Linked DNA regions of Coturnix japonica. The protein of the gene in region 2 interacts with the protein of the main gene of each other region in a biochemical or structural test. Links are inferred from orthologs where the notes say so. Each region holds a gene or a part of one and is shown on either strand. Other genes may lie near its edges. The genes, in order: SEC13 and SEC31A.

Region 1 (11,008 bases), on a different chromosome or scaffold from region 2:
GCTTGTAAGATAAGAGCTGACAAAAACGTGAAAACCGCATACATCTGTTGCTGAGTTCCTGTCTACGCATAATGAAGTTGTGCAGGGAATCGTGTGTTTCTTGTTTTATTTTTCTGCTGTGGCATTAACATCATTCCTTCTAAAAACTAGTGCCTGTAATGGCTATTTTTTTGAAAGTCCTGAGCCCTTCCACTGTTATCTGGTGTGCTGTAACAGAAAAGAAGTGGAACTGTATTCCTGGCCTACAGTAACAGCCGTGTCTCGTGTTTGCCCCTAAGTGTGCTTCCTCTTGTCTACGTTCTCTCCTGGGTTCTGTTCTATCAAATTTTGTTCTTTGCTGAAGGACTGAAAACAAAGATGTGTCCTAGAAACATCATTTCTGTTACTTTGAAAATGAAATAATGCACCTTGAAGATGTCAGTGAATAGTTGCAGCGATGTCTGGGGCTCTAGAAAGCATCCTGTGAGGATATTCTTCAAACCCTCAGGAACAGAAGGAACGAAGTGGGAACATACAGTAAAGGATGACAAATTTACACCTGTTACTTGTGTTCTAGCTAGACTTGAATGATGCGGCTGATCTGTGGGATTTCTTCTGTGCTACAGCTCACAAATCTTCAGTGGTAGGATTGAGGGTCGTAGGGCAGCTGAGAACAAATGCCCTCTGCAACAGAGCTATGTTAAGAAGTTCTGGTAGAATTAGATCACCATCTTGACTTTTGTCTGAGAGCCTGCTGGTAGAGAACACCAAGGAGCACAAAGAAAGTAGGCAGTGGATAATAATAAGAACCACTGGAGAGCTTCTGGGTCCTAACAGAAGTCCCCTGCATTGTCATGGTATACTGTGGACTCTGGCTAGACTTGGCACTTATTAGCCCTTACGAAGCTAAATACCATACATGAGAGCCACACTAAGGCATCTGTCAAGGTAGACTACAGAAAACCCCAATAAGGCCCCCTGTGAAAGATTTCCAAATACAGCACACCAGACTTTAACCAATAAGACTTTATTTTATTGTCTAAACAAAAACCTGAGGTACAGTATAGAATTGTGGCTAAAAAAAAAAAGTCTTCAAATTGTATTTTCATTTGTTGATGTTCTTTAAATAAACAAGTTTGAGATTAGCGTAAAGCAAAATAGATATGCATTCTGCTACTCTTTTTCATCTTTGGGAATGCACTGAGATTTTCATGTATCTGAGCATATTACTTTCAGGGAAACCCACACACCATTTCAGTACTACCAGAACACTGGCTACTGCTGACTCCACCAGCCTGCTCCATCACTTGAAGTAGTTTTGGCCTTTGAGTGGCCAGATGGGTTACACAGATGGTTTCACACACGAGCACTTTCATTGCCTGCCTCCTCCTGTTCCTGCTCAAGTGCTTGAAGTGTATCCAATTAAATCTAACTCCTAAACTAGAAGGCAGGTTACAGTTTTTACTGTGTTAGGGAGTAGCACAAGGCACAATACTTTGCTCCTCTCTTCATCTTTAATTTAAGGGAATGTCAAGTAAGGCTGATTTTCTACACAATGTAGCCCCCCAGTATTGTTTAAGATTGCTCATAGAATTGGCTAATTATTTCCCATGTTCACGTCCAGCTTGGATAAAACCAGTTCTCATCTGATTCAAGAAACATTGCAAATCAGGTATAGCCATCACTTCCAGCAGCTGGACTGGTCAGTCCTCATCACTGCTCATTCTGCTGCCCTTCTGTAATGGCAGACACTCCTCCTTGGCCCTTGTTGACATCGCTGATGCATGCCCACAACCCATCTACTGACTCCTTCCACAGCGTGACCTCAAAAACAGAGCAGGAAAAGATGTTAAGTCTTACACATTCTCAGTTTCTCATTTTCTTTGTAATGATTGCATCACTAAGATGGTAATGGTCTATAAGTATAGCAGTGTGTCAGAGTTCTTTCAAGCATCAAATTATTTATTGCTGTTTGCTAAATCATTATCCAGCAATAAAGGGAGTAAGAATTAATTCCAATGGTAATATCCTTACAAAATAAAATTAAGCCTACATTTCCAATCAGGACTAAGAATGCAGTGCATGTAGTTTGCCAGAGGTTGGAGTCTTCCTCCCCTTTAGGTAAATAAATAAATAACCACAAAAAAACACCACTGCATCAAAGGGAAGTCTTTAAAAGTCTTAACTCAAAACAACAAAAGTGAAAATATGACATGCAAGAGCAAACTGAGGCTGCAGTACTCACTTTATTGTCTCCTCCAGACACTGCGAGTATATTTGCAGTAATGGACCAACTCACATGCCAAACAACATCATTGAACTTGTGCAGCAATTTTGGTGACCATGAATTTCCAGAGGCATCATCACACGTCCAGATAAACACTCTGCCATCCTATAACAACAAACAGAATTGGCTACCATGAGTTAGTAATACAAAAACCAAGCTTGTCTGCATTGCCAATGATGACTGCACTTACACAGGCATGAACTCTAAATGTGTCTATTTGCATATTCACTGTACATGACGGTCTTTTTCCTTTCTATAGCCAAAAGCAAGGCGTAAGTACAGCTCACTCCTACCTAAGTCTCACCTGTGAACAGCTAGCAATAGTACTTGTTGGCAAGCCTATGGATGGAGCCCAGGCTACATCTCGGACCCAGTCACTGTGTGCCTCCAGCTTCTGCTCTTCTTTCCACTGACCATCTTCTTCTCTGAAAACATATTTACACAGATAAGATTAAGCAGATCTCACACGAATTGCTATGAGAGTTTCTAAGACATTAAGTTGTTTCTATTTTTAAAGTGCTTTTCTAAAATAGTAAAAGATAGTTAAAGATGAAAGCATATAGATGCCTGAAGTATAATTCAAGGTGCTAATACAGACATTCAGAAACCATAAAGAATGAAGTTCTTAAGCCTGGTAAGAGAGCACTTACTTCCAGATCTTGACAAGGTTGTCACAACCACCAGATGCAAATCTTTTGATATAGTTTGGTTTCTGACCAGACGGTTGCTCTATGAGGCTGCCTGGTACAACAGCAGGAGCCCAGCTAACTGCATTACATCCGATCTATGCAAGGAAAAAATAAGGTCATTACTAAAAGCTGTGGAGGGAGCAAAGGACATCTATGCTGGATGGATAAGAACTCCAAACATTGTTCTATTCTTGACTGGACATTTATTCAGGAAGTGTTATGTAGCCAAGTAACTGTCTTACAGGCAAATATCATTTTGGAAATGTATACAGTGGAGATAGATTAAAAAAAAAAAAAGCAGAGGTGCAAGATGTATGCTGTTGCTAAGAGTGAGGAATGCAGAAAGAATCTGTGTGCCCACAGCTCCGTTTTCTTTTAATGCAAGCCACCATCATTATCTGCTTAGATGGCTGTCAAGTTTTGTTTAAACAAGAAGTCCCACTGCTGTGGGAAAACCACGAGTTTTTCCCTGCAGTTTTTCCAGCTTCTTGTTGAAGTTTACTCACAGCCAGGTTGTACGAGGTATTCTGAGTATCAAAGCCATTTCCCACTATGTCACTTCCAGCACTGTGTTTAACAGTCATGATCAGATGTACTATCAGTGCTCTTTAATGGCTTTCACCTCTTATTTTCTACTTCACTTCACTTACTATAAAACATACTTTCTTACTTTAGATTTATTTAAAACAAGTTATTTTTCGGTTTTGGAGAACAATTCACAATATTTAATTGTATTTCAGTATTTATTTAGTCTGCACACTCTGAAGCATCAGCTCAATCCTCATCCATGGCTCCAACTTACAGTGTGTGCGTTGCTGATCTTTTTCACCTCCCACTGCCCATCACCAGTGTAGCTCAGTAATGAAATGGCGCCATCAGAGCTCCCACAGGCCAAGATCAGTCCATAGTCATGTGGTGCCCAGCAGACAGAATTCACTGTGAGGGATGAGACAGACTGGGTTACAACACAGTGCTAAAACTGCTTAACCCAATCACTGACTAGTACCAGTGAATGGTCACTAAAAGCGAGCAGCTTTGCAAGCTAAGAAGAGTCTTTGCATTCCTGAATTTCAGCAGACAATTACCACAGTTTATCGTATGATGGAAAACTGCCTCTAGTTGTAGCAGACCACCAGAACAGCACTTTCAGTGAGATAAAATCCTCTTGACTGTCCTGTGCAACAGCGAAGAGGTATCAGTGATTCTAGAACAAAGACTGACAAGCTGGAACAGCATTTAAAGTCCAGATCAGTAGCAAAACCAAGGTATGCATCCATTATACACTCATTTTTAACACTGGCTTAGTCTCAGGAGCATGGACCAAGAGTATATTCTAGTTGATTCCTTTGAGAATAAAGAACAATACTGAACAGCAAAGCAGCATTTCTTTCTATGGGCTTTGGCATGCTGAACACTTCAGAAATATTTCAGCTTTGCTTATAGGAGGACTGATCATCTCAACAAAACACTTTCAACTGGAAAACCAAACACAGCATACTAAAATTCCACTTTTTCCTTTCCTCCTTAGTGGATACATACAACACTATTTCAAGACTTCAGTATCCTACAACCTTATTTATCCAAAGCTGATTTACTTGTCCTGTGAAAATGCTGTATGTACCAAGACAGCTGGTTCTCCAGCAGGATGCTGTTCTGCAGATGTCCTTCCTGCGCAGAACAGACTTAGTGTCTTCTTTCCATTAACTTATCACAATCTGATGGAAGATTTCTGCCTAAACAATGACGGATTTATTCCAGTCCAAACCCCATTGCAGTCCCAGCTCCACACACCACAAACCTGAGGAATCGTGTCCTGTGTACTCGTAGGTCTTTTCCCAAGTGCCATTTTCTTCCTTCCAGATAATAACCTTCCTGTCATAGGAGCAGGAAGCCAAGATGTTTCCATACATAGGATGAGCCCAGGCAACCTGCCATACTGGACCTTCATGCCTGCAAGAAACAACATTATCTGGAAGAGCTGATAGAGATGCATTCTGGTTGTGGCTGTTTAAGCCATCACATCACAAACCATTGTTCTGTACATCACTAATACAATGATATAAAGAATATGAGTAAAATCAAGATGAAAAATAGGGCACGACTGCCAGATAAAGCCATTACCATTGAACACAACTCCAAATATTTATCCTTGGATTAAGACTCTGAGTTCAATTCTATAGAATTATTTAGAACAACACGCCACAAAGAACCACCCTGGAGAATTTACCACGCATCCTATGTCACTGAAAGGCTAAACAACAAAAAATTAAAGACTTGCAAAGAACGTCATCTTTTCAGACAATTTACCCTCTCAGGTCTGCAATGAGGATTTGCCCTCCGTTCCGAACATCAAAGATTTTCACAGATCTGTCTGAAGAGCAGGTCGCCAGCCGAGTGCCATAGTAATCCATCTGCGCATCGTGCTGCAAGGCAACGCACAAGGTGCTGTTGGCCCGTGTGAGTTCTGCTTTCTAAATCACATCATTACATTTCAGAAGTAGCTCTAAGAGCTGCAAACAGGTCACTGAGTGGCAGCAGGACAGGGCGAGGGGAACAGGTCTTAAATAACCCAGACAAACCACACCAGTCATTCATTTCCCCACCTGCCATTTTCTGACTGTTACGTGCGCAGTGTGCGGGTTTAGAGTGGGGCTGCACAGCACCCTCAGGACAGGAGCTTGGTGTCACTGAGCGCAAAGCCTTGACCAAGTTACATACTTACTGTGTAAGTTCAGTGTAACTGCACTAACAGCTTTTATTGGGCTTGAAACATCAGCATTTATCAGCACTCCTTGCTTTCATAAGCTGCTTTGTAACCCCTCCTCCTATGCCTGCACAGCTGCTCCCAGAAACACCAGCATCAAGGAGAGCAGAGCTGTCCACCCACACTCTGTGCCATTCAGCACACGTCTTTGTTCCATAGAAACAACCCTGGGCACGGAAACTGTGAGCGTTAAACTTTTCCTCCTTCCCATTTTCCCGCTCCCCATTATGATTATGATTATAGCACTATCAGAACTGCAGTCAGGATTCGGTATTTCACGTCCCACGTCACCTTTCCGTGCAGATACTCGCGTTCTGCCCTCTGACCGCCAACTAACGAACACGCAGCAGTCCCGGTCCAACCCATTGGGCTGAAGGCAGCAGCACGGCACACACTTACTATCATGTCCTCGTGAGAGGTGTCCACGGTGTTTATCACGGAGACCTGCGGAGGGAGGGTTGTGGTCAGGGAGCAGCGCTCGGCTACGGGCACACACACACACGGGCCGCTGCGGAGAGCGGAGCGCCTCTCCCGGTCCCGCAGGCCGCGGTGCTGCCTCCGCCACCTTCTTCCGCCGCCCCCCGCTCTACCCCGAGACACCTCCCCGCCCCGCGGAGCTGGGCCCGGGCTCGGCCCCGCTGCCCTCCCCGGTTCTACCCACCATAGCGGCGGCTGCGGGCCGTGCAGCGGCGGCAGCGATGGATCCGCAGGCGGCCGAGCGGCTCGGACGTGGCACGAAGGTCCGCCGCACAAACAGCCCCGCCGCGACGCCTCCCGCGCAGGAGGTTCCGCCCGCACCCAGTTCCGGCCGGCGCCGTGCGCAGGATGGGGGAAGGCGGCGCTGTCCCGTGCAGATGCTCTCCGTTGTCCCGTGCTGATGCTCTCTCCGTTGTCCCGTGCTGATGCTCTCTCCGTTGTCCCGTGCTGATGCTCTCCGTTGTCCCGTGCTGATGTTCTCCTCTGTCCCGTGCTGATGCTCTCCGTTGTCCCGTGCTGATGCTCTCTCCGTTGTCCCGTGCTGATGCTCTCTCTCCGTTCCGCTCCGTTCCTCGCGGTGCGGCAGTTCTCGTGTCCGGCGGTCGCTGTCAGCCGCCGCTCGGTGCGATTCTCCGGTAGCTGCCTTCGCTCTGTCCGCCGCCGCCTCGCTCCGCCGGCAGGGGCCGCCCGAGGCCCGACGCCGCCGCCCGGCTCCGGCTGCGTCCCGTCCAGGCGGCTGCCCCGCAGCCCGTCCCGCCGCCGTGGGGGCGGCCCCGCGGGGACTGCGCGGCCCCGCCGCCCTCCGCCATCTTCCTGCGGGCGCCCGGCGCCGTGCCGCCCCGCCGCTATGGCCAGCGTGTCGTACCACATCTCCAGCCTGCTGGAGAAGATGACCTCCACCGACAAGGACTTCAGGTGCGGGACGGAGCTCCTGGTTTCCCCTGGGCGGGCCGTCCCCGCCGCCCGGTAGCCGTGGCCCGACGCCGGGCTATGGCCGCACGCGGGGAGCTGTCAGACGTGCTGCGGGACCGCGGGACTGGGGGGGTAGGGCGAGAGGGGCCGCTTTGTCTCATTCTGGATGTCAGTAGAGAAAGAAAGAACTCCGTAGGTGCGGGACGGGCGGCTCGGCGCCCCGGCTGTGCGGCGGGTGCGTTCGGTCCGTTACGGCCGACACCTGTGACAGCTGTTACCGGCAGCCCAGAGGTGCCGCCCTGCCCGTTACCCGCCTCATGCAGCCCGCAGCAGCAGCAGCAGCAGCAGCCCCAGCCCCAGCCCCAGCCCCAGCCCCGTGCTCCGCTCATCCCGCCGGCCGGTGGCCATACTTGGTCATGCTCGTGCTGTGCAGGCAGCGCTGGTGCAGCTCGGGGCCCCTCCGGATCAGAAGTGCCGCGGTTCTGAGTTTTGGGTTTTGCGTGTGTTTCTGGTCAGCCTGATGCCGCCGCTGCCCTCGTGCCGCCCTGGGGAAGGTTCGCGTGTGGGAGACAGCCCCGAACCCCGGAGGGGCATTTCTTCCTTAATGCTGAATGACTTACAGCAGAGCCGGATTTAACATGGAGGTGTCGTCCGATGAGGGGGGAGCTCCTCCTCGGCTCCTTTCGGACACCCGTCCCTGTCCGAGGAGCACATTACAGCAGTTAAGATGTGGTATCTGTACGTGCATTGCTGAGAGCCTCGGGCTCCTGTACATTTTCTGCCCTTAGGAGAACAGGGTTACAGAATTTCTCATTGTGCGTTTTGACGTTGTGCCTGTAGGAAATTACACTGGCTAAAAGTCAGAGGTGTTGTTTTTCTCCTAAGCTGGGATGAGAAGTACTTGCTTGGTTTTGCTCATGGGAGAGAAATGTTGTGCCATATACTGTCTTAGGTTGTAAATAAAATGCGAATGAATTTGATTGGTGGTGGATATGGAATAAAGAGCAGAGGAGTGTTCCTTAATAAAGGGATACTGTAGCATCAGAAAGAGGATGTGGAACACTCAGGGCTGGCAGTGTGAGAGCAGCAGTAGATGTCTGTACTTTTCTTTAGAACAGAAAAAAAAGCTCTGCGAGAGGTGTGAGCGAGGAAACAGGGCAGGTTACAGCCAACACAGCTGCCAGGACCTGTACCAGCCCCAGGGAGCAGGAGGGTGTGAGAAGGAGGGAGGTTGAGCTGAGCAGTGCAGCTCTAAATATAAGTGGGGAATTTTTATGGTAGAGATCTTTTTATAAGGTATAAAGGAACTTTTTTAAGGTACAGAAGAAGTTTAAAGGTCTGGTATGGAGCCATGACTTGATTTTCCATTTTTGAGCTTGATAGACTTTCTCAGTGTGTGGGACTGTGCTGTCATTGCCAGCGATGTCAGAAGGAACACAGCCAGCTGCATTCTCACACCCCATGCTTGGTTTCCTAAGTCTGACAGTTGGTGAAAAACCACTCCTGTTTTTTCTACCGTACTCAGCCGTGCTCATTTGGGCACTGAGAGAAAATGCACAACAGGTCCCACAGTGCCTGTTTCAGTTGTAGCATAACCCATCCCTGTCAAGTATGTTTAGAAGAGAATCTCTATTTCTTGTTTTCGTAGACTTTTTAGCCAAAGCCTTTTCACCAGCTGCCTTGCTCTAAGTTTTCTTCTTGCCAAAAAGTATCAGTTCTATGTACCGTCTTTTTCATTAGAGTGTAAAGTATTGTACGTTACTTTGAAAATCTGTTTTTGTACAAAGAGTGATTGTCAAGAGAAGGAGATGCATTTGTGTCTGTGTATCAGCCAGTCCACCACTGCTACATTTCTTTCAGATTTATGGCCACCAATGACCTGATGATGGAACTACAAAAAGATTCTATAAAACTGGATGAAGACAGTGAGAAGAAAGTCGTGAAGATGCTTTTGAAATTGCTGGAAGACAAAAATGGGGAGGTACAGAACCTCGCTGTCAAATGGTAAGAGCCGTGTCAGAAATTACCGTGTTTGTTGGCAATAACAAAGTGGTCACAGACTCCACTGGGTGTTGCAATGGAGGCTGCTTCTGCTGCATTGGCACCCTGCTCCAGCCTCCCCTCCTGGGAGCTTTCCCTCACCTGCTGCACACGAGTTTCTTTTCCTGTTGGGAACCCTCACCCTCATCCAGGCAGGGTGAGCATGCAGATGCCTTTGTTCAAGCAGTAGGTGATTTCAGAAGTAACTGAGTTCTTACCAAGCTGTGAGGCAGAATGCCTGAGATTTCAGTTCTTTAGAGAGAAGCTCAGTTTAAAGTTCTGGGACATCAAGCTCTTCTCCTTTAGAAAGGCTTGAAATCTGGTGCAGAATTTCCCAGTGGCCTTGTCACTGTTACATATGGTATTAAGCTGATGACATGTATATTGCTGATATACAATTACTGCTTTATGTTTTTAAACTATTTAGCTTGTAATGGGTGCGAATTAAAATAAATAATTGCAAACAAATGCTGTCAAACACATCTTGCACAATTTTAAATACAAACACACAAGCAGTAAACGTAGGTTTTAAAAAGTTTTGATAATGGTAATAATAATATTAGTAATAACAATAAAAAGTGCGGAGTGAAGAGAGCAGACTTCTCATAGCAGTTCTGAGACTTGGCTCAAGAGGAGGCTCTCACACACGTGGCAGAGGACAATAGATAGTTAATAGCGTATAAAAATCATTTGGCATTTGTTCTAGGAAGTCAGTTTCTTACGGATGATTTTGTTTCAAAACATGACTTGGGAAAGCAGTCCTCTTTGTGTTCATTCTTATTTGGTTCTCCTTCTGCAGCCTCGGCCCATTGGTGAGCAAAGTGAAGGAGTATCAAGTGGAGACCATTGTAGATACACTATGCACAAACATGTTGTCAGACAAGGAACAGCTGCGGGACATCTCCAGCATTGGACTGAAAACAGTTATCTCTGAGTTGCCGCCAGCTTCTACAGGTAAAATGTTTGTCCCTGTCTGATAGATTGAGGCAGAAGGGAATCATAGCCTTTGGGAAGCAAGAAAATGGGTTGGTTAGAGTCTGAACAGTATAAATATTCACCAGCTGGGGGACAAGAAATGAAGGGAGGAGGAAAGATGGTTCAAGCTGAAATACTGCTATGGGTGGAGATGAGATTACATGAAATCTCTTGAGCTGGTTAATGGGAGGATACTTATACCTGAAACTGTATCTGAGTTCTTAGGGAAATCCGCTCCTGCAGCTGGATGCACCTTGCTGCTGGTGATGTCTGTCCTTCATCTCAAACAAAAGCTGACTGACTGTCGCTCTTCTCATCTCTTCCTGTGGTGAATTCTTATTTTTAATGTAGGATTGAGACCTCCTTTTAAGTGATAGGGAAGATCTCTGTCTTGCAGGTTCCACAATGACAGCAAATGTATGCAAAAAGATCACAGCCCAGCTGACAGGAGCTATTGGCAAGCAGGAGGATGTATCTGTGCAGCTGGAGGCTCTTGACATCCTGTCAGATATGTTGAGCAGGTAACAAAGGATTTCCTTTGGCATCTGGGTACAGCAAGGGGCTGCGCTGTGTGTGTTTGCTTTTGATTTCTGCATTTCCCTAATCTTACTATGTGGGCTTAAAACTGAAGGATTTGGGTTGGCTGCCATTGGGGGATATCTCAGCAGAGCAGATTGCCCAGCAGGGGTGACGGGCTGCACGCTGAGCCCTTCTGTGCTGGGTAATAGCGGTAACAGTAGTGATGGATCCCACAGAGGCTCTGTTTAAAATAAATAAATAAAGGCAAGGGAGAGCAAAGCAGGGAAGTTTATTTTAGCCCTCTGATCTGATTGCACATGCATTTTTTTTCCTGGCTGCCTCTTTCTCTTGTTACATAAGTCAGAG
Region 2 (10,550 bases):
CGTATTATGGTGTTGGATGGCTGCAGCCTGTGTCTGTCTGTCGTGCAGGTACCACAAGCTGATCTGGGGGCCTCACAGCATGACCGCAGGCGAGAGAGTCTCTGGAGTCCTGATTGCTGGGGGTGAGAATGGGAATGTCATTCTGTATGACCCAGCCAAAATCATAGCTGGAGAATCCGAAGTGATAATTGCTCAGAAGGACAAGCACACGGGACCAGTGAGAGCACTTGATGTCAACATGTTTCAGGTGGGTTTTCGGTTGTTTATCATGTTCAGTCTTGGATGAGTGGCCTGTTTTAACAGATTGTTGCCACACACAGCTCTAAATATTTCACTTGGAAAAGGGAGTCAGAGCAAATACACCATGGTGCAGCCTCTTAAGGCAGAACTCTCAAGCTTTTCTCACTTGCTGATGAGAGTTTAGTTGCTTCTAGATTCAGCGGGTCAGCTTTTCCTCAGCCCCCCACCAGCTGCATGAGAACTGAGTTGATTTTGTTTCCTAAATAACGCTTCTGTCTATACACACTTACTTTTAGCAAGGCCACCCTTTGTTCATTGTGCCTTCTCTGAAGAGCTTCCTCTCTTTCTGTCCCTTATGAAGTTAGGACTTGCATGTCAGCGGCTGTAGGATGCAGACAAAGGGTGCTCGGTGCCACTAAACCACATCACACTGCCTGGATGTTTGCATCCTGGCCACAGGATTGGGCTGGAGGCTCAAGTGCCATGTTCCCTCCAGCCAGCCCGGCCCTGGGGCAAAATGCTGCTTCCCCATCTGCTCTATCCTAGAAATGTCAGCACTGGGCCCTCTGTGGCTGTAGCTTCTTCACATGTTTGCCATGCAGTGGAGGAACCCTCAGTGAGACAGAAATCTTGTTCTTGGCACACTGGTCTGATTTGGTGTGGGGAGTTCCTTTACTTACTTGGCATTTATCTTCAATCTCTGGTGTTGCTGCTTTTCCCTTAAGAAGAAATTGGCACAGACTCGTCAGTCTGTGGCTAAGACTGCAAAAGCTGGTGCTGAAAATACTCTTACCATATTTTAACGTGTCTTACAGACTAATCTGGTGGCCTCTGGTGCTAATGAGTCTGAAATCTATATCTGGGACTTAAATAATTTTGCCACACCGATGACTCCGGGAGCAAAGACACAGGTACTAGATAGGTATTCATGAAATACTGCAGAGTAAACTAATGGAAAACACGAATGTTACTTAGGATGTGAGCTCATTAAGACCGACAGCTTTGAAGCTGCCTGGGGGTGGGGGAGAGTGTTAAAATTTAACTTGAGTATCAGTTAATTGCAATTAACAGTGAGCTGCATTTCTGGCAATCTTAGTTACAGTCTATGTGGTAAAACAAATAACGAATACCTTCATATTAATGTAAGTAAAACCAAGTTCCTTTGCTGTATGTTGTTCCTGAGTGACTTTAGTTTGTTTTCATGTGGTCATTTTGAAGGAAGCTTGCTTTTGTTAAGGATTCCTGTGTAGGATTTTCTGTGCTGGGAGGTCTGTTTTTAAGCTGTGCAGTCTTTTAGTCCATGTGCTTATTGACTTTAGGGAATGCAGTGCGCCAAGAAGGGCTGGGTTAGCATTGCTTTTCTGTTCTGGGGGAAGGAAGTAGAAAAGCTAACAAACTTTCCCCACTCCTTAAGACATTATTTTGGAAAGGGTGTGACAGGCTGTGCTGTTTGTGTGGCAGCCTCTTGAAGACATCAGCTGCATTGCGTGGAACAGGCAAGTCCAGCACATCCTGGCCTCCGCCAGCCCCAGCGGTCGAGCTACTGTGTGGGATCTCAGGAAAAATGAACCCATCATCAAAGTCAGCGACCACAACAACCGGGTGAGTTAGCTCTGGCACAACTGCATCGGTACTTACAGGGAAGTGCAGGTGGCTTGGATGTCACTGGCAGAGCTTGGCAAGGATAGGTCGTGGTGATGGAACACCACAGAAGAATTTAACCCATGACCTGATTACCCCTACTCCCATATGCTTAAAGCCATCACACCTCCCATGCTGTCAATACAGAAAAGAGCCCACTTATCTTATGGAGAGTGAAATATTTGTATGATTTGTTATAAATATAAGTGAGTATTGCTATAAAAACACTGAGGGTGTAGCAAGTTCAGGATAAAATTTACGTGTGTGTGCTCCTGAATGAGCTGCTTGGTCACTGCATTCCTGCTCAGATAAGCTTCCTAACTTCATATTTTACATATCTGTTCCTTGATGTAATAGCAGTACGGTAAGCTGTTTTCACTGTGTAATTGTAATGCTCTGATGGAGCTTTCATGTGATGATAGCCTCTGCGTAATGATGGCTTTTATTAAAATACCAATAAATACTAAAGTAGTGAAAAAACTCTGTTCAGCTGCTTTTACAGTATTCTTGTATTAAAACAGTTATAAACAGGAGAGCCTTCAGGATCTCACTCCAAGTCTCGCTCGTGGAGATGAGGACAGTATCCCAATCTCAGTGCAGTCAGAAGCAACATCCAGAAGTACAGCTGCTAATTGGCATCTTGAGATTGTGTTTTCCTTGCAAATCTATTTAGACTGGTGGCCTTCTGTCCTTTAGCACTATGTGGTTACCCTGTGCTGTGGCACAATGTTATCCCTTAGATGCACTGTTCGGGCCTGGCCTGGCACCCCGATGTTGCTACCCAGATGGTTTTGGCTTCGGAGGATGACAGGTTACCCGTGATTCAGATGTGGGACCTTAGATTTACCTCCTCTCCACTGCGTGTTTTGGAAAGCCATACGAGGTACGAGACGCTTGTTGTGACCTGCTGCTCTTTAATGTTCACACTGTTTATGACTATAGCAGTTAGTTCATCTCACTGTTTGTGTGGTTCCCTACCAATGCTTGCTTAGGTGGAGCCACTTTCCAGCAGCAAGCAGTGTTGGATACTGCTGGCTGGAAGGGAATGGGCCTCACATTAAAAATAACTTTAAAGTTCCTGGTTTGCTTCTGTTCTGTTTGAGAAGCAGCTGGACTGCAAGGTCGGCAGTAGATTGATTTACGTAAAGAGCAGCAGTGTCTGTGTTGCAGCTACCGCCAAAACTGCTGCCAGTCGCTCAGCTGATACAGATTTTCTGCTAATAAAAAGCTGTCAGAATGTTGATAATCACTGTTTCAACCTATTAGTTTGCATAAAATGTGTTAATGATGGTGCAATCAGTCGAACCATTTGAGTGGATTGGTAACCATATCTGCATACAGAAGTGTTGAATTTAATTTTATTTAATTGAATTTTATTTATGGTGACTGTACCTTTACAGCTACTCATGCAAAAAACAGAAGAAGGAGTGGGGAGGACATTTTGACGTAGACTGCTCAGCTACTGTAGCAACTTGCTGACAAACATGCTGTATCACCATTTTGCATTCGTATTAATATGTTACTTGGTTGTGACTTCTCACACAGGGGTATATTGGCTATTGCTTGGAGTATGGCAGATTCAGAGCTGCTACTAAGCTGTGGGAAGGATGCCAAAATACTGTGTTCAAACCCTAACACGGGCGAGGTACTGTATGCACATCACTTACTAAAAACTGTTTGGAGGTGTCATGGTGTTATGTAAAGCAGCAATTTAAGAGCAGTTGATCTGTTTTCAAGCACTTTCACTAATTTTTGCAATATGGACTTCTTGCTTGTTGTGTGGGCAAGATCATTCTGCAGACAGGGAGAGATGTGCTGTCAGAATCCAGACTTGGCTGCAGAAGTGTAAGGCAAAAGGTGGGATAGCAGGTGTGTGATCCAAGCTGGATTCTGAGCTGGGGAGCTCTACGTTTGGGTGACTCATACTGCATAGTTTGATGTAAAATAAAAACCTTTTCCTGGGAGACAGTGATGCAGTTACTGCTTGGCCCCCTCAGCAAAACTTTAGTAGACAAGCAAAGAACAAATCCTTTCTTTGAGATTAAATGTCTCTTGTAGTGGTAAACTTGTCTGTTCTGGGCCAGGAGAAACTCCTGGGAGCAGCATAGGTTTTAACTCTCCCAGTTGTCCCCCAGAACATACTGCCTTTGGAGCCTGGGTGTGTTCCCATGTTTTGTGGATGAGTTACCACGAGTTCCAGCAGCTCGTCACAATGCACAGAGCCAAGTCAGTAGCTGCACGTGCAGCACAGAAATACACTGCCTGCTTAGCTGACCATATGTGGAATAAACAGAAAAGTCAATGGGAATAGGAGATAAAGCAGTGGTGTGTGGTGCTGGATTGTCACGTCCTCATTGTTAGTGTGTATGGGTGATGTGGGGGCTGCTGGGGAGCAAGAAGAGCAGCTTCGTCTCTGGGCACACAGGAAAGTTGCTGTTGCTGCTCATGGTATTTCATATTCACTCTGATGTACCGGACTTGTTTCTGCTGCCCAGGTTCTCTATGAGTTGCCCACAAACATGCAGTGGTGCTTTGACATCCAATGGTGTCCCAGAAATCCTGCCATCCTCTCTGCAGCTGCATTCGATGGACGGATCAGCATTTACTCTATCATGGGAGGCAGCACGGACGGGTTGAGGCAGAAGCACGTTGACCAGGTACTGAGAAGCATGAAGCTAAGAAAATGGTTAGAAAGGGGATAAAGCATGGGTTTGTGGGTAGCCTTTGGAGGGTGTCCCAACTGTGTGCTTGCAGGAGTACTAATCTGCTGTAGAAAAAAGAAACAGTTCAGTTTATTGGAGATGATGTCTCACTCTAGGTTTTGTGGGTTTTTTCCACACCTTTTTATTTTCAAAGCTTTCATCCTCATTTGGGAACCTTGACCCATTTGGGACAGGACAGCCTCTCCCACCCCTGCAGCTTCCCCAGCAGACTGCACCACAGAGCGTCGTTCTGCCCCTAAAGAAACCCCCCAAATGGATCCGGCGACCTGTGGGAGCATCGTTCTCTGTGAGTAGGGACCGTGTCTGGGCACAGCTGGCCAGGCAGGAGGGAGATACAGGTAGTGGTGGCACCTGCAAAGCACATCTGAAACAGGGGAATTTGTCATTGTGTTCCACATCATGAGAGTGTGCCCTGTTTGCTGGGGTGACAGGAGATGCTCAAAACAGCATCTGGACTGGGCATTTGGGACAGCATGCCAGCAAAAGCATGACAAAAATGCTTGGAGAAAGAAATGGGGAGGCATTGTGTTGCCCAGAGGCACTTCTTTCTGTTTTGGAATTGAGGGCTTTGCTTTTACTTGTGTAGTGTTTGCTTTGAATAAACAAATGTATTATTGGAAGGGACAAGTTGGGCAACTAGCTGAGATTTCAGTCCAGTTTGTAGGCATTATATGGCTCAGCGTGGAGAAAGATAACTAGGTATGCTCTGATGGAAGGTAGCAGGAGCCCCTGAAACAGCACACAGGCCTGGGCTCCTCTCTCATTGTAGGAGTTGCAGAGAAGCTGTATGACAGGCAGGCAAGGCCCTGCTTTTCATGAGAGCAGGGTCATTTGCTCTTCAGCTACCACCAGTGCCTTGCTTTCTGGACTCTGAGGCTGTTTCCCAAGAGAATTAATGAAGATTTTTAGGCAGACAGTCTACTTGAAATGGATTGCTGTGCCAAAGTACTGCCTTTGTTTTTATCAGTGTGTCTGCTTATTCGTCATCTCATCCACAAATTAAATGCAGCTTTTCTCCTCTCAAGTAGAAGCAATATTGCCTAGCCACTGATTGATGTGTCATTTTATAACAGTTTATTTCCTTGTCCTGGTTTTCCAATTTGTCAGCCTCTTTCTTGGCCATAGTTTTTGTAATGCTCACTTTGGTCTGGCCTGTGTCAGTTGACTTTAAGCTATAAAATGAAATCGTATTCTAGGCACCATTTAATGTTGTTTTTTTTTTTCCTTTCCTTTCTGTTGGTTTTATTTCTTTCTAAATTTCAATTCAATTCACTGCCGAAATTGTTTGAATTTGTAAACAGGCTGCTGTAAGTAGGGTACACATGATACTTGAGCATCTATTTAATGATGCATAGGGTTTTTTAGTGTGTTGTGGGCTAACCCTAGTAAGCCCCTGAACCTCGTTTACCTGCCCACTGGCTCTCTTACAGTTGGATTAGGTACAGAATCAGAAGGATAAAAGTGAGAAAACTCATTAATTGAGATAAAGCCGGTTTAAATAGATAAAGCAAAAGCTGCATGTGGAAGCAAAGGAGGAAGGAATACGTTCACCCCTTCCTACTGGCATGCAGATGTTTAAGCATTGAAGAAGCAGGGCTTCATCATGCATAGTGGGTATTTGGTAAGAGAAATGCCATAACTCAAGATGTCCCCCCATTTCCTCCACTCCTTGCTGGAGGGGGAGCTTGAGACACAGAATACTCTGATGTGGTGTAACTGTCATGTAGCAACAGTTAAAACAGGGGTGTGGTGTCAACGCTATTTCAATCACCAGTCCAAAACATAGCACTGCATGGGCTGCAGTGAACAAAATTAACTGCTGCCACACCTTGTACAGCACTGTCATAGCACCAGATACTCACAGACCCATTTCTCAGGTCTCACACACACTTATCCAGCGAGCTGCTTTATTGCATGGGAATGTGGGGTGGTGATACAAGCTGATATTTGTTTGCTGAATGATCATTTATGTATCAAATGAAAACATGTGCGTGTGTTATGTATGCATAGTTTTTTCACACATATCCAAGTGCGTACTTGCATTTTTACATGCTCTGCTTGTGTCTTTATTCCAGTTTGGAGGCAAGCTGGTTACATTTGAGAATGCCAAGCCTCAACAGCAGCCAGGCATTGATCAGCAGCCGCAGCGTCACTATGTCTATGTGAGTCAGGTCGTTACAGAGAAGGAGTTCCTGGCACGTTCAACACAGCTGCAGGAGGCTGTGCAGTCTGAAGGCTTTGTCAGCTACTGCCAGAAGAAAATCGATGTGGCCCAGGCTGACTTTGAGAGAAACGTGTGGGCCTTCTTAAAGGTAACAACTGAGAGCAGTCCAGGAGTTTTCATTAGCAGGGAAAGTCATTGCAATAAGGATTTCTTCTCCACATTATAGTGTTCTAGCAGAAGGGATGTTGGGAATGATGAGTGTGGACTCTGGTGCACGTAATCTCTTTTAGTAGGGTGGCCCAACAGAAAAATGAGGGTCCTTAGAGCCTGAGGTCTTCGTTGGCTTCATAGGTGACCATGAGAGCAACAAGGACTTGGAAGAGGCATCCTCTGTTTTTGTCATTCCCTTTCACTACATCTTTTAAGTGCTTCACTGTTTACTATGAACATTTAGAAGATCCCAAATGAAGCAGGTATGCACAGTTTACCTGCAATAATCAGACTGAAGTCTTGCCTACCTGCTCAGATGCTCAGTTCACTGAAGACCTTGTCGGGTTTTTTTTTTATTTGTTTTATTTTATTTTCCTTGATGCTTTCTTGTCAGTTGCTGGCTCTCACTGAGTATTTTTTCCAATTAAGTGAAAAGTCAGTGGGTGAGTGTATGGAAATCATGCATTGCAATCTAGTCTTCTTTTTTTGAAGGTGAACTTTGAAGAGGATTCACGTTCTAAATATCTTGAGCTGCTGGGATACAGGAATGATGATCTGAGGAATAAGGTAAGCGTGCCTGAGAGCTGTGCTTGTGTTAAATACTTTGCTGATGGATTTATCTGCCAAGTACAGCCTTGTATAACCAAGGTATTCATTTATGTGTGGGATATTGTAAGAGCCATTAGTGATAGCCACAGGCTATTCCAGCACAATAAACTTCTTTCTACAATGCTGTTTTCAGTGTGTTTCTCAGCAGGTAGCATTTGTCAGCGCCTGAACTTTCCTAATAGCTTGTAGGTACAAGTGTTAGCAGTGCTGCAGGATCTTCTGTACAAACATGGCAGACTCGAGTATTTGTGTTATTTGTGGAATTCCTTTGTATCAGAGAGGACTGAATATCTTGAGTAATTTTGGAATTCTTACAGCAATCGCAATTTGCTTTAGGCATTTTGTTAGTTAAGCCATCTTGGAATACAGCTCTACAATGGGAACTTCAAAGCAGCCAACAGACTTCACAGTCTAATCTACATCTGAGCTTCCCATGCTGATGAGAAATTTTTGCCCATCCAGAAGCTTTGATATCTGGTACAATTTGTTCATGTGACTTGATTGAAGATACACCCTTATTTTGTATCACCGCTGAATCTGATCTGTTCTTAGGCTTTTTGATTCAGGAACTCATAAGCCATGAGTGTCCGACTTTTTGTCTTACCTGGGCCATATTGAGTGTAGAGGAAGTTGTCTTGAGCTGCATGTAAAACATATAATACAGTTAAATATATAGGAGCAGAAAATTTTCATCAAGAATATGAAGCCAGCAGGTCAGACAGGTATGCTGTAAGCATTCTGACAAGCCTAGAATAGTCATTTTTTGTGTGGGATGTCACTCATAATTAAGATAAAAGAAAACCGAGATCACACACGGCTACATTTGGAAAGGCAAAGTCTGAATTATCAGGAAGCAATTTCTACTTCTTGGAAATGGAGGTGGAAGAACATTCTTAGCTTGGTGGTGTGATGCTGCACATTGTGACTCTTAGCTGCTTGCAGTGCTGAGCTCAGGAACTTGTCAAATGCTTTCCCAGTTGTGATGGAATGGTTTTGAATGTCTGATTTATTGCTATTGTGTCAAGCTAACATTTTGTTTTGAAAGCGTCTCCATAAAAATGACACTGTTTACCAATTAAATGCTAAACTTAGGATTATAGACAATGTTTTTGCTGGCAGTTTGTCCTTGAATCTAAACTTTTTCATTTATCATTTGTCTTACACATATGATCAGAAATGGAAGAAAACAAAACACAAGAAAACAGCTCCAACTAATATATCTTCTGCCTATATTTTAAATTCCGTTCATTACATTTCATGCAGTTTTAAGGGCCCCAGAATGAATCCGGAGTCATGATTTGTCTTGGCAAGTGGTAAAAGCTGGGAATTTGAACTCTGATGTACATTGGAAAGTCCTACCACAAGGCCACGTGCCTGCTGTGTCTGGAAACTGCTTTCAAACCAGTTTGTTGCTCCAGCAAGATTGTTACTGCTACGTTATTCCCTCATCAGGGCACACAGAGGGTTTCTTCTTGTATGCTCTGATATTATTTTTATTAGTGTGGTTTCCAGCAGCCCTAGTGAGGTTTGAGGCCCTCAGGTTAACAATAAAAGATTTAAAGGCACAGAGCAGCTCTTGTTTCCATCAGAGATTGGGGTGCACAGGGCTTAGTTGTAATTCCATCACCAGACTGAGAAAATGGCTCTAACTTCATGTTAACTGTTTTGCAAGCAGCATACCAGCTACATTTATTAGTTGTGCAGTCTGAGAGTAGTCTGTCTCTAAAGGAAAAGGGCACTTCCTTAACAAATCTTGGTTCTTTTCAGATTACATCAGCTCTGAATCTGAATAAAGAGTGTTGTGCAGATGGCGAACTGGGAGAGGTAAGCAAATGAATGCACATTCAACTCCACACATAGTATTAGAGTGCCCCAGAATAAGTCGGTTTCAATCCAGAGCATGATGAGTGGCTGCATTCAATAGGATGAACATCTCTGTTTAGAGAAAACAGGACTACTATTTTCCCCTCATTTCCCCTTGTTTTTTAGCAGCAGGCTGTCAGTCCCAAGATATCAATTCCCAAGTCTCAGATATCCTTCCCTCTTGCTCTTTTGCTACCTATGTGTAGCCTTCTGTTGCAAAGTATGTTCCTGTGAAGTTGGGCAGAGCTTTGCCTGCCTGCCAGCTGGTGTCAAGAGCAACACAGGCTTTAGAGGTAAAAACAAACAAACAGACTTGGGAATGTGCATCTGTAATGCTTTCCTGACTGACTAACTCAAAGGATGCTGGTGTTGCTTGTGCTCTACACAATCTGGATGTCACGTGTAGCTGCCTAATGGTGGGGGGAAAAAAAAGGCTACACATTCTTAAGCAACTAAGCTGAGAAGTTTTACCATGCAATAGCAAAAAGCAAGGAGATAGAGGGTTTCTGCCATGTTCATTGTATTTGCGCATATACTGTCAATTCGTTTCTCTGCTTTGCAGACTGGCTCTGACTATGATGAGAAGTTGGCTATTCTCTGCAGTGCAAATTACTTCTTTCTTTCTCTTGTCTGGCTTTCTCCTTTATTGTGACATCTTCTCTTTGCTTAAGGCTCCCACAGAATCTGATGTGCCTTTACTGAACAAAGGGGATGAAGGCCAGACTGCAGAGGAGCATTTCTTGGGAGAGGTATCTATTATCCTCTAGACTAACCCTGTTGACCTCCTGTGTATTTACTTTGTTACTCTTAAGAACATTTCATCTTTTTGCCTTTTTTCCTGCTATTATCTGTGGATGTACAAGTGTTATTGAGAATGAATAATGTGTGGGCTCTTGTTAAGTTCCATGGGGTTTTCTTATCAGTCTTGGCCAACACTAGAATAGATTTTGGTGGCATTGAAGGACAAGTTCATTTTGTAACAGTCCAGTTGGCACCAGAGCCAAGGACTTCCATCCACTCTCATTTTTCACTCTGACATTTACCTAACACGTACTAAATGATCTCCTACCACAACTCTAATTGAATTTCTCTTTTAATGC

Evidence for each region.
Region 1: the proteins of SEC31A (region 2) and SEC13 form a complex in vitro, tested with the Homo sapiens proteins (2 studies listed by BioGRID and IntAct, with this or other methods). The link is inferred for Coturnix japonica from reciprocal best matches to the Homo sapiens genes SEC31A and SEC13.

What each region holds. Positions count from the first base shown.
Region 1 is NC_029527.1:16,778,931-16,789,938, forward strand, and holds SEC13 (protein SEC13 homolog), read right to left. Parts: upstream 6,113-11,008; 5' UTR 6,086-6,112; coding exon 6,011-6,085; intron 5,427-6,010; coding exon 5,263-5,426; intron 4,906-5,262; coding exon 4,754-4,905; intron 3,892-4,753; coding exon 3,758-3,891; intron 3,051-3,757; coding exon 2,917-3,050; intron 2,692-2,916; coding exon 2,571-2,691; intron 2,372-2,570; coding exon 2,225-2,371; intron 1,804-2,224; coding exon 1,693-1,803; 3' UTR 991-1,692; downstream 1-990. Other genes in the region: cullin-associated NEDD8-dissociated protein 1-like, read left to right, coding at 7,044-7,111, 8,969-9,112, 9,948-10,102, 10,521-10,644. UniProt on the Homo sapiens protein: Functions as a component of the nuclear pore complex (NPC) and the COPII coat. At the endoplasmic reticulum, SEC13 is involved in the biogenesis of COPII-coated vesicles.
Region 2 is NC_029519.1:41,243,152-41,253,701, forward strand, and holds part of SEC31A (protein transport protein Sec31A), read left to right. Parts: intron 1-48; coding exon 49-247; intron 248-1,055; coding exon 1,056-1,151; intron 1,152-1,701; coding exon 1,702-1,842; intron 1,843-2,621; coding exon 2,622-2,764; intron 2,765-3,426; coding exon 3,427-3,526; intron 3,527-4,376; coding exon 4,377-4,538; intron 4,539-4,737; coding exon 4,738-4,890; intron 4,891-6,679; coding exon 6,680-6,916; intron 6,917-7,470; coding exon 7,471-7,545; intron 7,546-9,354; coding exon 9,355-9,411; intron 9,412-10,121; coding exon 10,122-10,199; intron 10,200-10,550. UniProt on the Homo sapiens protein: Component of the coat protein complex II (COPII) which promotes the formation of transport vesicles from the endoplasmic reticulum (ER).